2 linked regions of the Caenorhabditis elegans genome follow. The protein of the gene in region 1 interacts with the protein of each later gene in a pairwise test. Each region holds a gene or a part of one and is shown in the gene's direction. Other genes may lie near its edges.

Region 1 (4,614 bases):
GCTTGCTGGCGAGCAAAAATAGCACGATTGCTCCGACGTAGACACCAACACGGAAATAGTTGACTTCTGGAAGAATTTGTTTAACGATTTTTTAAAAATAAATTCAATTTAATACTAACTCCAAATTAAAACCGATATTTCGTATGGTTCAGTTGTGGAGACGCCGACGATTGTGTCATTGAACGGATTTAACTGATGAGATCTGCAAAATTTAGTTTAATTGTTGGATTTTTCAGAATATTTTACAGCTAGAGTTGGGATACCCGAAAATCCGTGACTTTCTGCAAAATCTTCGATGAATTTACTAAAATCCTAGCAGAAACGCAAAAGTTTAATCGAATTTTAATTAAAATTAGACGGAAAATTCGGAATTATTGGCTTTCTTCTAACTTTGGGTCTGCTAAATATTTAGCATACCCAACTTTGGTGTGCTAAATATTTAGCAGACCAAAATTTCCACGTTTCTCTGTTGCACATTTCTATTTATCAGCGAAATCCAACAAATTTTTGCTGATTTATCATAAAATCTGTGTCTTTTTCGCGGTCCAAACCTCAAAAGTGCGGCTTTCCGTAAAATTCCGAAATAACGATTGTCATTATCGTAAAGCTGTTGAACAGTTGTGCAGTTTGTACCCTGAAACAACTCCATTTTATATTTTCGCAAGCATTTCCCGAGAACCTACCTGATAAAACTGATATTGATCCGCATTTGTCAGATTAGTCTGCAAAAAAACATCGGTAAACGCGTATATCGCGTTGTAAGGTAGTGCTTTCTGATAGAAAAAGTCGAGATTGTACGAGTAAAGCTTGGCGCCGACACGAAGGACCTGGTTTAGAGCTGAAAATTATTTTTTTTTTAATTTTGAAACTTTAAAAAAGTCTTACCTGCCGGTTTTTGCTCACAATCCTCGAATTTATAGGCCAAGCTACCCGCGACGAGTAGTGCGAGGGTCAGTAAGCGCATCTGCGCCGAATTTTTGCTGAAAATTCAGAAATATTTGTTGGAAAATTAGAAGATGGGGAGAAATTCAACCGAAATTCAGAGAAAAAACGTGAAAATTCACATGAAAATTCGAAATCTAGGTTTTCGCGCTGCCGGGTCCCGCCACGAAAGTATTCTGTGGACTCCTCGTGGACAACTTTCAGTTATTTTGTTTTGTTATCAATTTTTAGTTAATTTTCGAAAATTTCTGGAATTCGATTCCAAAATCAGAAAAGAATGATTGAAAAATTCGAAGAAAATCGAAAAAATTGTGAAATATCGAAGGAAAGTCGATATTTATGAACTAAACTTCGCCAAAAATTGATTTAAACTCGAAAAATTAACGATTACAATAAAAAAATGTCATAAATTTTAATTTAAATACGTTTTATCAAACCTGAAAAAATAAAATTTAAATTCAAATTTCCTTGCAACGACACTCCGCCGCACGCCTTGTTTAACCGAGCCCCTCTAAATTAAAAGGTTCCCCCTTTGTTTTACACTAAAGTGCTCATTTTTTCGCTTTCAATTGATTTTTTGACAGAAATTTCGTGTATTTTTACGAATTAGTGCTGAAATTTGAAGAAATTTGAAGAAAAAACCGAATTCCAGATCTCAAATGCCCGACAATTTATCGGCAATATTTGGAACAATACTGGATTATGCAGAGGAAGTAGCAGCGGGGACATCTAATGAGAGTACGTGTTTGAAAATCGAGAAATTGCAAGACATTGAGCAGATAAAAGAGATTCTTGGCGGAAGAATAATACAATTTCGGCGAAAATTAAAGGAATTTTGGTCTGCTAAATATTTCGCAGACCCAAATATAACTTTTTTTTTGAAAATACGGTTTTTAGAATTTTAAGTAGATAAATAAGCTAGTTTAAACATTTTTAATCTTAAAAAAATCAAGTTTTTTATGGTTTTTAAGCAAATTTTAGCTACTTTTGAAAAAAAAAGTGGCAATAAACACCAATTTACTGAAATTCCAGACGACGAAAGGCCTCCACGAACAAGTTTAACGAAAAAGCAACAAAAAGCCGTATCAATTCTGCGGAATTTCTCAACAAACGACCAGAAACAAGAGATCTCATTTCAAGAACTATCACAGAACGTTCTCGACGACTGGGACATTTCAAATATCAAATCTTCGTCGGTTCAGCAACTCGTTGAGCTCCTAAATTTGCCACGTGTACAGGGAGTATTATGGGCGGCGCAGGAAATTTCAGCCGGGCGGTTTGCTCCGCAGCTTCCAGACGTTCCGTTCGAAGTTGACGAGGATGATGGGGTCGCTGTGAAAATTGTGAGGATCGACGGTTTTTGTTCGGAAATTCTATTGAAATTTTCAAAATTTTGGAAAAATTGGCTAGTAAAATTGACAATTTTTTCAAATTTCCACTTTTATAAAATTCTATTGGTCTGCTAAAATTGGCTTGGGTCTGCTAAATATTTAGCACACCCAACTTTGGTCTGCTAAATATTTAGCAGACCCAACTTTGGTCTGCTAAATATTTAGCAGACCCAACTTTGGTCTGCTAAATATTTAGCATACCTAACTTGGGTCTGCTAAATATGGGCATTGGTCTGCTAAATATTTAGCATACCTAACTTGGGTCTGCTAAATATTGGCAATGGTCTGCTAAATATTTAGCAGACCCAACTTTGGTCTGCTAAATATTTAGCATACCCAACTTGGGTCTGCTAAATATTTAGCATACCTAACTTGGGTCTGCTAAATATTGGCATTGGTCTGCTAAATATTTAGCATACCCAACTTTGGTCTGCTAAATATTGGTTTGGGTCTGCTAAATATTTAGCATACCCAACTTTGGTCTGCTAAATATTTAACAGACCCAAAAATTTTATATTCCATTTCATTTTTCTAATTTTTTGTTTCAATTTTCCAGGTGCGAATAGTGCGACGTGGCGAACCCCTCGGTGCAACAATAAAATGCGAACGTGGCAAAGTATACGTGGCACGAATAATGGCGAACGGTGTGGCAGACCGTAGTGGATGTATTCAGGAAGGCGATCGAGTATTGGAGGTCAATGGGATTACTGTAGCGGATAAGGAGCCCAGGGAAATCGTGAAGCTGCTGGATAAATGTGATAATGGAATTGTTAGTGATTTTGTTTTAAAAAATTCGAAAAAACAACAATTTCCTAGCAGTTTATCACGAAAATCAGAGAAAATTTGTAAAAAATCACATATTCGTATCGTCTTGTATACCTGAAAATTGCTAAAAAATTCTGTATTTGTTAAAAAACATTGAAGATGGATTTATTATAATTTAAAAAAAAAACCTGAAATATCAGAAAAAATTTGCATTTTCTCAGTAATTTGTAACTTTTAGCCTGAACTAAAAAAGTTTTTAAGAAAATCTATAAAAATACACGTTTTTTCTCAAATTTCCAATATTATTTTTCAGATAACCTTCAAGCTGATCCCTGCAGAAATAAACCAGAAGTTAAAGCAGAAAAAGTCGTCACATCGGTATGCCCGAGCTTTGGTAAGTGGTTTTTTCTAGTTTTTCTCAGAATTTTAGTCCAAAATTCGCAAATTTTTCAATTTCCAAGTAGAAATTCCGTAAAAATAGCCTAGAATTCTTCCTAGTTTTCAGTTCGACTACGATCCATGGCAGGACAAACGTCATCCCTGCCCAGAAGCTGCAATTTCCTTCCGCGGCGGTGATATTCTAGAGATCCTCGACGAAAAGGACCAATATTGGTGGCAAACTCGAAAAATCGGATTCGGAGCACTGGCGAGGCGGAAAGAGAGTCATGATGACGAGAATCGAGATGATTCCAGTGAGAAAATTGCGCTCTGAAATTCCAAAAATAATGATTTTTTCAGAAAAAGTGGGTCTCGTACCGTCGGAATGGCTACAGTGTCAATCGGAAATTCCAGAAAATGGAATAGATACTTCAGATGATTTTCAGTCATTTTTAGAGGTATAATTTTGGAAAAAGGGTTTAAAAGTGACTTATGACTTCAGAAAAATGAGAAAATTTAATTTTAAAAAAATCTAATTCCACGTGGTTTTTATCCAGATAATTGGAATTTTGGAGATCCAGAAAATTCCACTTTTGCACTTTTTTTCAGAATTTTCTTTAAAAAGCGTAGTTTTTTTTTCAATTTAAACGCTATAAAATATTGGCAACACTAAAGTCCAATCGGATCCTTAAAAATTCAAAAAATCGAAAAAAAAAGTGGAATTTGAGTAAAAAATCTATTTTTTGCGAGTTTTTGAACATAAAAATGGATTTTTCGTTAATTTTTAGGTAAAAAATAAGAGAATTTTCAGTGGAAATTTAGCTAAAATGGCGATTTTTAACGTTCACGACTGAAAATTGTGGGGTTTTTAGCGCGAAAAATCGATTTTTTTGGGATTTTTTAGGTTAAAAATGGGAATTTTCAGTGAAATTTAAGTAAAAAATCAATTTTTTGCGAGTTTTTGAACAGAAAAATGGATTTTTCGTTACTTTTTAGGTAAAAAAAAGAGAAATTTTTTCATTTAAAAAAAAACCAATTACACGTGGTTTTTATCCAGATAATTGGAATTTTGGAAATCCAGAAAATTCCACTTTTGCACTTTTTTTCAGAATTTTCTTTAAAAAGTGTAGTTTTTTTT
Region 2 (5,132 bases), on another chromosome or scaffold:
GTTTCACTGGCGTTAGGTTATGATCTTACGACGTTGGGCTTGAATTTGAATTTGTCAGAGTGAGTAGTGGCCTGAAAAGCCCGAAAAGCCCAGAAAAACTCTAATTTCCCTCTGTTTCAGACGAAAATTGTACATGAACTTTGGTGGTCCGTGGGCCGATTCGCCGATTCGAGCACACGAGCTCGACGTGAAGGTGCCCGAGGAGTACATGACGCATAATCATATTCGAGACAAACTTCCACCGCTGCGATTGAATAAAGTTTCAGAAGACGTGTTATTCTATCTTTTTTACAACTGTCCAAACGAGATTTATCAGGTGGCGGCGGCGTGCGAATTGTAAGTAAAGTTTATTCCAAAAACCTGCATCGACCATGACCGCGAGCGGAGCGTCGTGTTTAAAAAATTTATTTTAGTTTTTTTTTTTCCCCGAGAATTTGTGATTTTCATGAATTTACATATGAAACGCATAAAAAATTGGCCAAAATGATAGAAAATCACTCGTTCTGGGCGAAAAACTTTCAAGAAAATCCGCTTTTTCGTTAAGATCGCATAATTGTTCATCATTTTAGTTGATTCTTATTTCGCCTCATATATAAATTTATGAAAAATCATGTGAATCACGCGTTCTTAGCGAAAAGTTAAAATAAAAATTATTGAGCCGCTCCGTTTGCAGTTACGTCGCGGTCGAAGTTCACGAATCAAATTATTAATAATTTTAAAATTTTAGCTAGAAAATTGAAAAAAACATATATTTTATGTTAGCAATTGAGAAAATCTTTTTTATCACGAAACAATCATTATATTTTCAAATTTTTTGCAGGTACGCTCGCGAATGGCGATTTCACAAAAGCGAACAGGTGTGGTTGACGCGTTCTCAGTACGGTGGAGTGAAAGAACAGACGGGAAATTATGAAAAAGGGCATTACAACGTGTTCGATCAGATGCAATGGCGAAAAATTCCGAAAGAGTTAAAGTTGGAGTACAAAGAGCTCGAGGATCGGCCGAAAATGCCGCAATCAGTTTCCGGACAACCGACACCCTACAAATACTTTTTCCAAGGACCACAATTTCCGAGCGGTCCGGAGACGGGTCTGATGCTTCAGATGCATAACTTGACGCTCGGCACAGGTGGCGGCGGTGGCGGACAAATCACTCCACCGGCACCAGCGGGTCTTAACGGAGTTATGGGTGGTGGTGGTGTTGGAGCAGCTGGAATCGGAGGAATCAATGTGCAACCGGGAGCCGTTCCATCGGCGGCGCGAGCTACTCCAAACTAAACAAGAAGAAGATGATCTCTCGTGTGCAAATTTTCTATATCCCACTTTCGTCATCTTGTTCTCGAATTGCTCCCTTTCTCTCTCATTTTCCATCTCTTTTTCCCCTCTTTCTCTCCACATTTTCTCTCCCAATCTCCCATTTTTTTCCTTCGTTTTCCTTATTTTTCCTCTTTTCTCTACGTTTTCGTATAAACGATTATCGATATACACAAGTTGCTCTTTGAAAACCTGTGATTTTTCAAAGAAAGAGCTTCACAATGACTGGCGGCGGCGGTTTTCTCTGTATTTTCAGTGGCGCAACACCGAACTGATAAGACGGGGAAAAAGGCTGAAAACAAGATGTTTGTCGATGACAAACTCGCCTACAAGGGGGTTCTGATATCGTTCCGTGATAGCAACACAGTTTCATTCGATACTATTATTGTTTGTCATGTCGTCGTTGGCTGAAATCGCGTCGAGACCCGAAAACTTGGAGCTTCTTGCTGAAGGAAAAACCAAGCAAATCTTTGATATTAAAGGAGAAAAGGTTGGTTTTTTTCACTGAAAATTCAAAAAATTTGGGAAAACATTAATTTTCTACTAATTTTTTAATGCTTTATAGATTAAAATTTAGATATTTTAAAAGCGCCTTTTGAAATCGTGATGCAAACGCGCTCCGCGAGTAATCTGACAAGCTCCGCCCCAAAACGTTGGGTCTCGTTGGGAACGTGAATTTTTGACGATCTCACCCAATTTTTTTTGCATTTTTCAACATAAAAATCGTTAAAAACAACGAGAAATGATTGGAAAGTGCTGGAATCGGCAAAAAAGTAGGATTATACGGTTTTACCGCCAATACCTAACGAGACCCGGTTTTCAGTTATCCGTGGCGCGCTTTTGCAGCCCAAGTCACATTTTTATGCGTCTACATAATATTCAGAAAAGCGTGTCCTAGAAACACGAAAACTCGGCCAACCGAATTATCAGAAGAGATTTTTCAGAAGTATGCTCAAAATAATCTTTGAAAGAAATGTTCGGTTTTCACTGTCGGTGAGTGGCCGAGGTTTCACGTTTTCTAGGCCACGCCGCAAATAGCCAGCTTGTGGCCTAGGAAATGAGAAAACTCGGCCACTCTTTCAGCACATTTTTCAAATACACGTACGGAAAATTTCCTGTAAAAACGGTGTCTGAGCTTTCACGGAGCCTAGAAAAAACTCGGTCAATTTCGTAAATTTGAAATCTATTTGAATTTTTCCGTTTGGATTGCGATAATAATGTGCTTTTCAACAAAATTGAATCCAACTTTTTCAATTTCTGAACAAAATCTTTTCAGGATTATGTGCTCATTCGTTCCAAAGATAGCTTGACCGCATTCAACGCTGTCCGTAAAAATGAGCTTGAAGGAAAGTCTAGAATCGCAAGTAAAACCACATCAAACGTGTTTGAATATCTTCAACTTCTCGGTCTACCAACACACTTTGAAAAAAGCATCTCTGAAACTGAATTTGTCGCCCGTAAATGCACCATGATTCCGATTGAATGGGTGGCACGACGTGTTGCGACAGGATCCTTCTTGAAGAGAAATCCTGGAGTTAAAGAGGGTTTCAGATTTAATGATCTGAAATTGGAGACATTTTTCAAAGACGACGCTAATGATGATCCACAATGGACTGATGAACAAATTGTGTCGAATGGTTTGATGATTGATCATTTGAAAATTGGAAGAGAAGAGATTTCATTGATGAAGAAGATGACAAAGTTGGTGTTTAGAGCATTGGAGAAAGGATGGGCTCTTTCAAATAGTGCTCTGATTGATATGAAGGTGAGGGTGTTGCAAAGTTTTTATTATTCTCTTTTTTTTTATCGGTCTCAACTTTAAAAAGTAAACATAATAAAAAGTATGTAAGTTTAATGTTCGGTCTGCAATATATTCGTTTTGTAAATATTTACATTTTGAAAGGAAATCAGCACCATTTAAAACTGGGTGTTTTCTGTAACGTGTCGATTTACGCAGCTTGAGTACTTCACGAGGAGAAGTGTGTTTTTCTTTTCGCTGAATTTTACAATTGTCGGTTGTTGTAATTTTGAAATAATTTTGAAGAAAACCTGAAAATTCCAGATCGAATTCGGAGTCACAGTTGAAGGAGAAATTCTCCTGGCCGACGTGATTGACAATGACTCGTGGAGAGTTTGGCCTGAAAATGATAGACGTCTGCAGTTGGATAAGCAAGTTTACAGGGATATGAAGGAAGTGACAGAAGAGGGGTTGGCTCTCGTTTTGAAGAATTATACAAAGGTTAGTAGGCCGAAGCTTAGGCCTAAGCATATGCCTATGCCTGAGCCTAAACCAAAGACTAAGCCTAATCCTAAGTTTTAGCCTAAGCCCATGTCTAAGCATAAGCCTAAGCCTAAGCCTAAACCTAAATTCAATCATCCTATATATCAATTGTTAGATTTTTACGCGAATCAAACCTTTCGTGTAAGCACAATAACTTGCCTGCCTGCAAGGCGATCTGCACCTGATTTCTGCCAATATGCATACCTACAATTTTCGGTAGACACGTTGAGTAGGTAGGCAGGCACATAGACACGAAGGCGTATCTACCTACCAATAACATTTCCAGGTTATGGATATCACTGCCACCTTCTCAAAACACCAGCAAAAATGCCATGTTCTTGTGATCATGGGATCTGGTTCGGATGGCGTATTCGCACGGAAAATCTCTGATGAAGCCAAGAAATTTGGACTGGAAACTACGCTGAAAGTAAGCTCAGCTCATAAAACTACCTCGGACACTCTGGAAGTTATCGCTGATTTCGAAGAAAGTGGAGTTCCGACAGTTGTGATTGCAGTAGCTGGAAGATCCAATGGACTCGGTCCAGTTATTGCTGGAAACTCGTCTCTTCCGGTAGGACTTGAAAGATCAGATGATCTTTATTTCAAAGAATTCAGGTGATCAACTGCCCGCCACCAAGTGAATCAACGAGTCTTGACATTTGGTCATCACTCCGAATGCCGAATGGAATCGGGTGTACTACAGTGTTGGACCCATCGGAGGCCGCGCTTGCCGCCGCAAAAATCCTCGCGTCTCACAATCATATTGTGTTTGGAAAAGTGCTCACTGCACAGCTCAAGAATCAAATCAACATTTACGTAAGTGATAGAGATGTGAATTTCTAATTTTTGAACTTTCAGAACGCCAATCGCAAACTTGAATAGATGCAGGACTGAATTGAAATCAGATTTTTCAAAAACTTTCTTGTGTAAATTAACTAATTACTCAACGTTCACTTTTATTTCAGCATTCTTATATTAAAAACGAAATGAAATGTTTGAATCTTAAACTTTCAACTGCACATTCCACAGCACGTGCAGAAGAAATCCACGTGTGCCGAGACATCCACGAGAAGATCAGTCTCTTGAGTCAGCTGTCTCCGTTGCTGACGTTGACGATTATGGGTATCGTAGAGTTCTGGACAAGGCATTCCGGCTGACAAAACACCTACGAGAACTTGAACATTTCGAGTGTCCGATGTTCGGACAACTCCCGAGCCACTGTCACCCTGGAATCAGTGGAAACTATTAGGCATCTTGGGCAAGTAGGCATTGTTCTGCCTACTTCTGAAGAAACACTTTTAAACTTTAAAAACAAACATCACAAGACAATCCTCTATTCACTGCCGACGTACAATACACCCCGCCATATGGGAAATCGTCGGAGCACTCCGCAACAAACGAGTATAGCGATTTCAACTTTCCAGACTCCAAAACACTATCCGAAGCTGGAATTAAAAATTTCAAAAGATCACATAAAAATCGGAACTTACGATCTCTTCCATAACCAAAAAGCTTATATCCGGTTTCTCTGATCCTCG

Evidence for each region. The genes of interacting proteins can lie anywhere in the genome.
Region 2: the proteins of magu-1 (region 1) and paic-1 interact in a two-hybrid assay, tested with the Caenorhabditis elegans proteins (one large-scale study listed by BioGRID).

The regions. Positions count from the first base shown.
Region 1 is NC_003281.10:468,683-473,296, reverse strand, and holds the start of magu-1 (MAGUK family), read left to right. Parts: upstream 1-1,594; 5' UTR 1,595-1,601; coding exon 1,602-1,680; intron 1,681-1,974; coding exon 1,975-2,285; intron 2,286-2,889; coding exon 2,890-3,102; intron 3,103-3,411; coding exon 3,412-3,492; intron 3,493-3,603; coding exon 3,604-3,790; intron 3,791-3,836; coding exon 3,837-3,934; intron 3,935-4,614. Other genes in the region: nemp-1 (Nuclear envelope integral membrane protein), read right to left, coding at 1-66, 120-202, 552-634, 684-838, 886-964.
Region 2 is NC_003280.10:4,369,091-4,374,222, reverse strand, and holds paic-1 (Phosphoribosylaminoimidazole-succinocarboxamide synthase), read left to right. Parts: upstream 1-1,697; 5' UTR 1,698-1,707; coding exon 1,708-1,803; intron 1,804-2,315; exon of another isoform or gene 2,316-2,385; intron 2,386-2,589; coding exon 2,590-3,078; intron 3,079-3,375; coding exon 3,376-3,552; intron 3,553-3,880; coding exon 3,881-4,165; intron 4,166-4,209; coding exon 4,210-4,410; intron 4,411-4,452; coding exon 4,453-4,476; 3' UTR 4,477-4,598; downstream 4,599-5,132. Other genes in the region: ntl-2.1 (NOT2/NOT3/NOT5 C-terminal domain-containing protein), read left to right, coding at 1-59, 121-336, 821-1,277; try-9 (Peptidase S1 domain-containing protein), read right to left, coding at 4,605-4,820, 4,912-5,039, 5,085-5,132.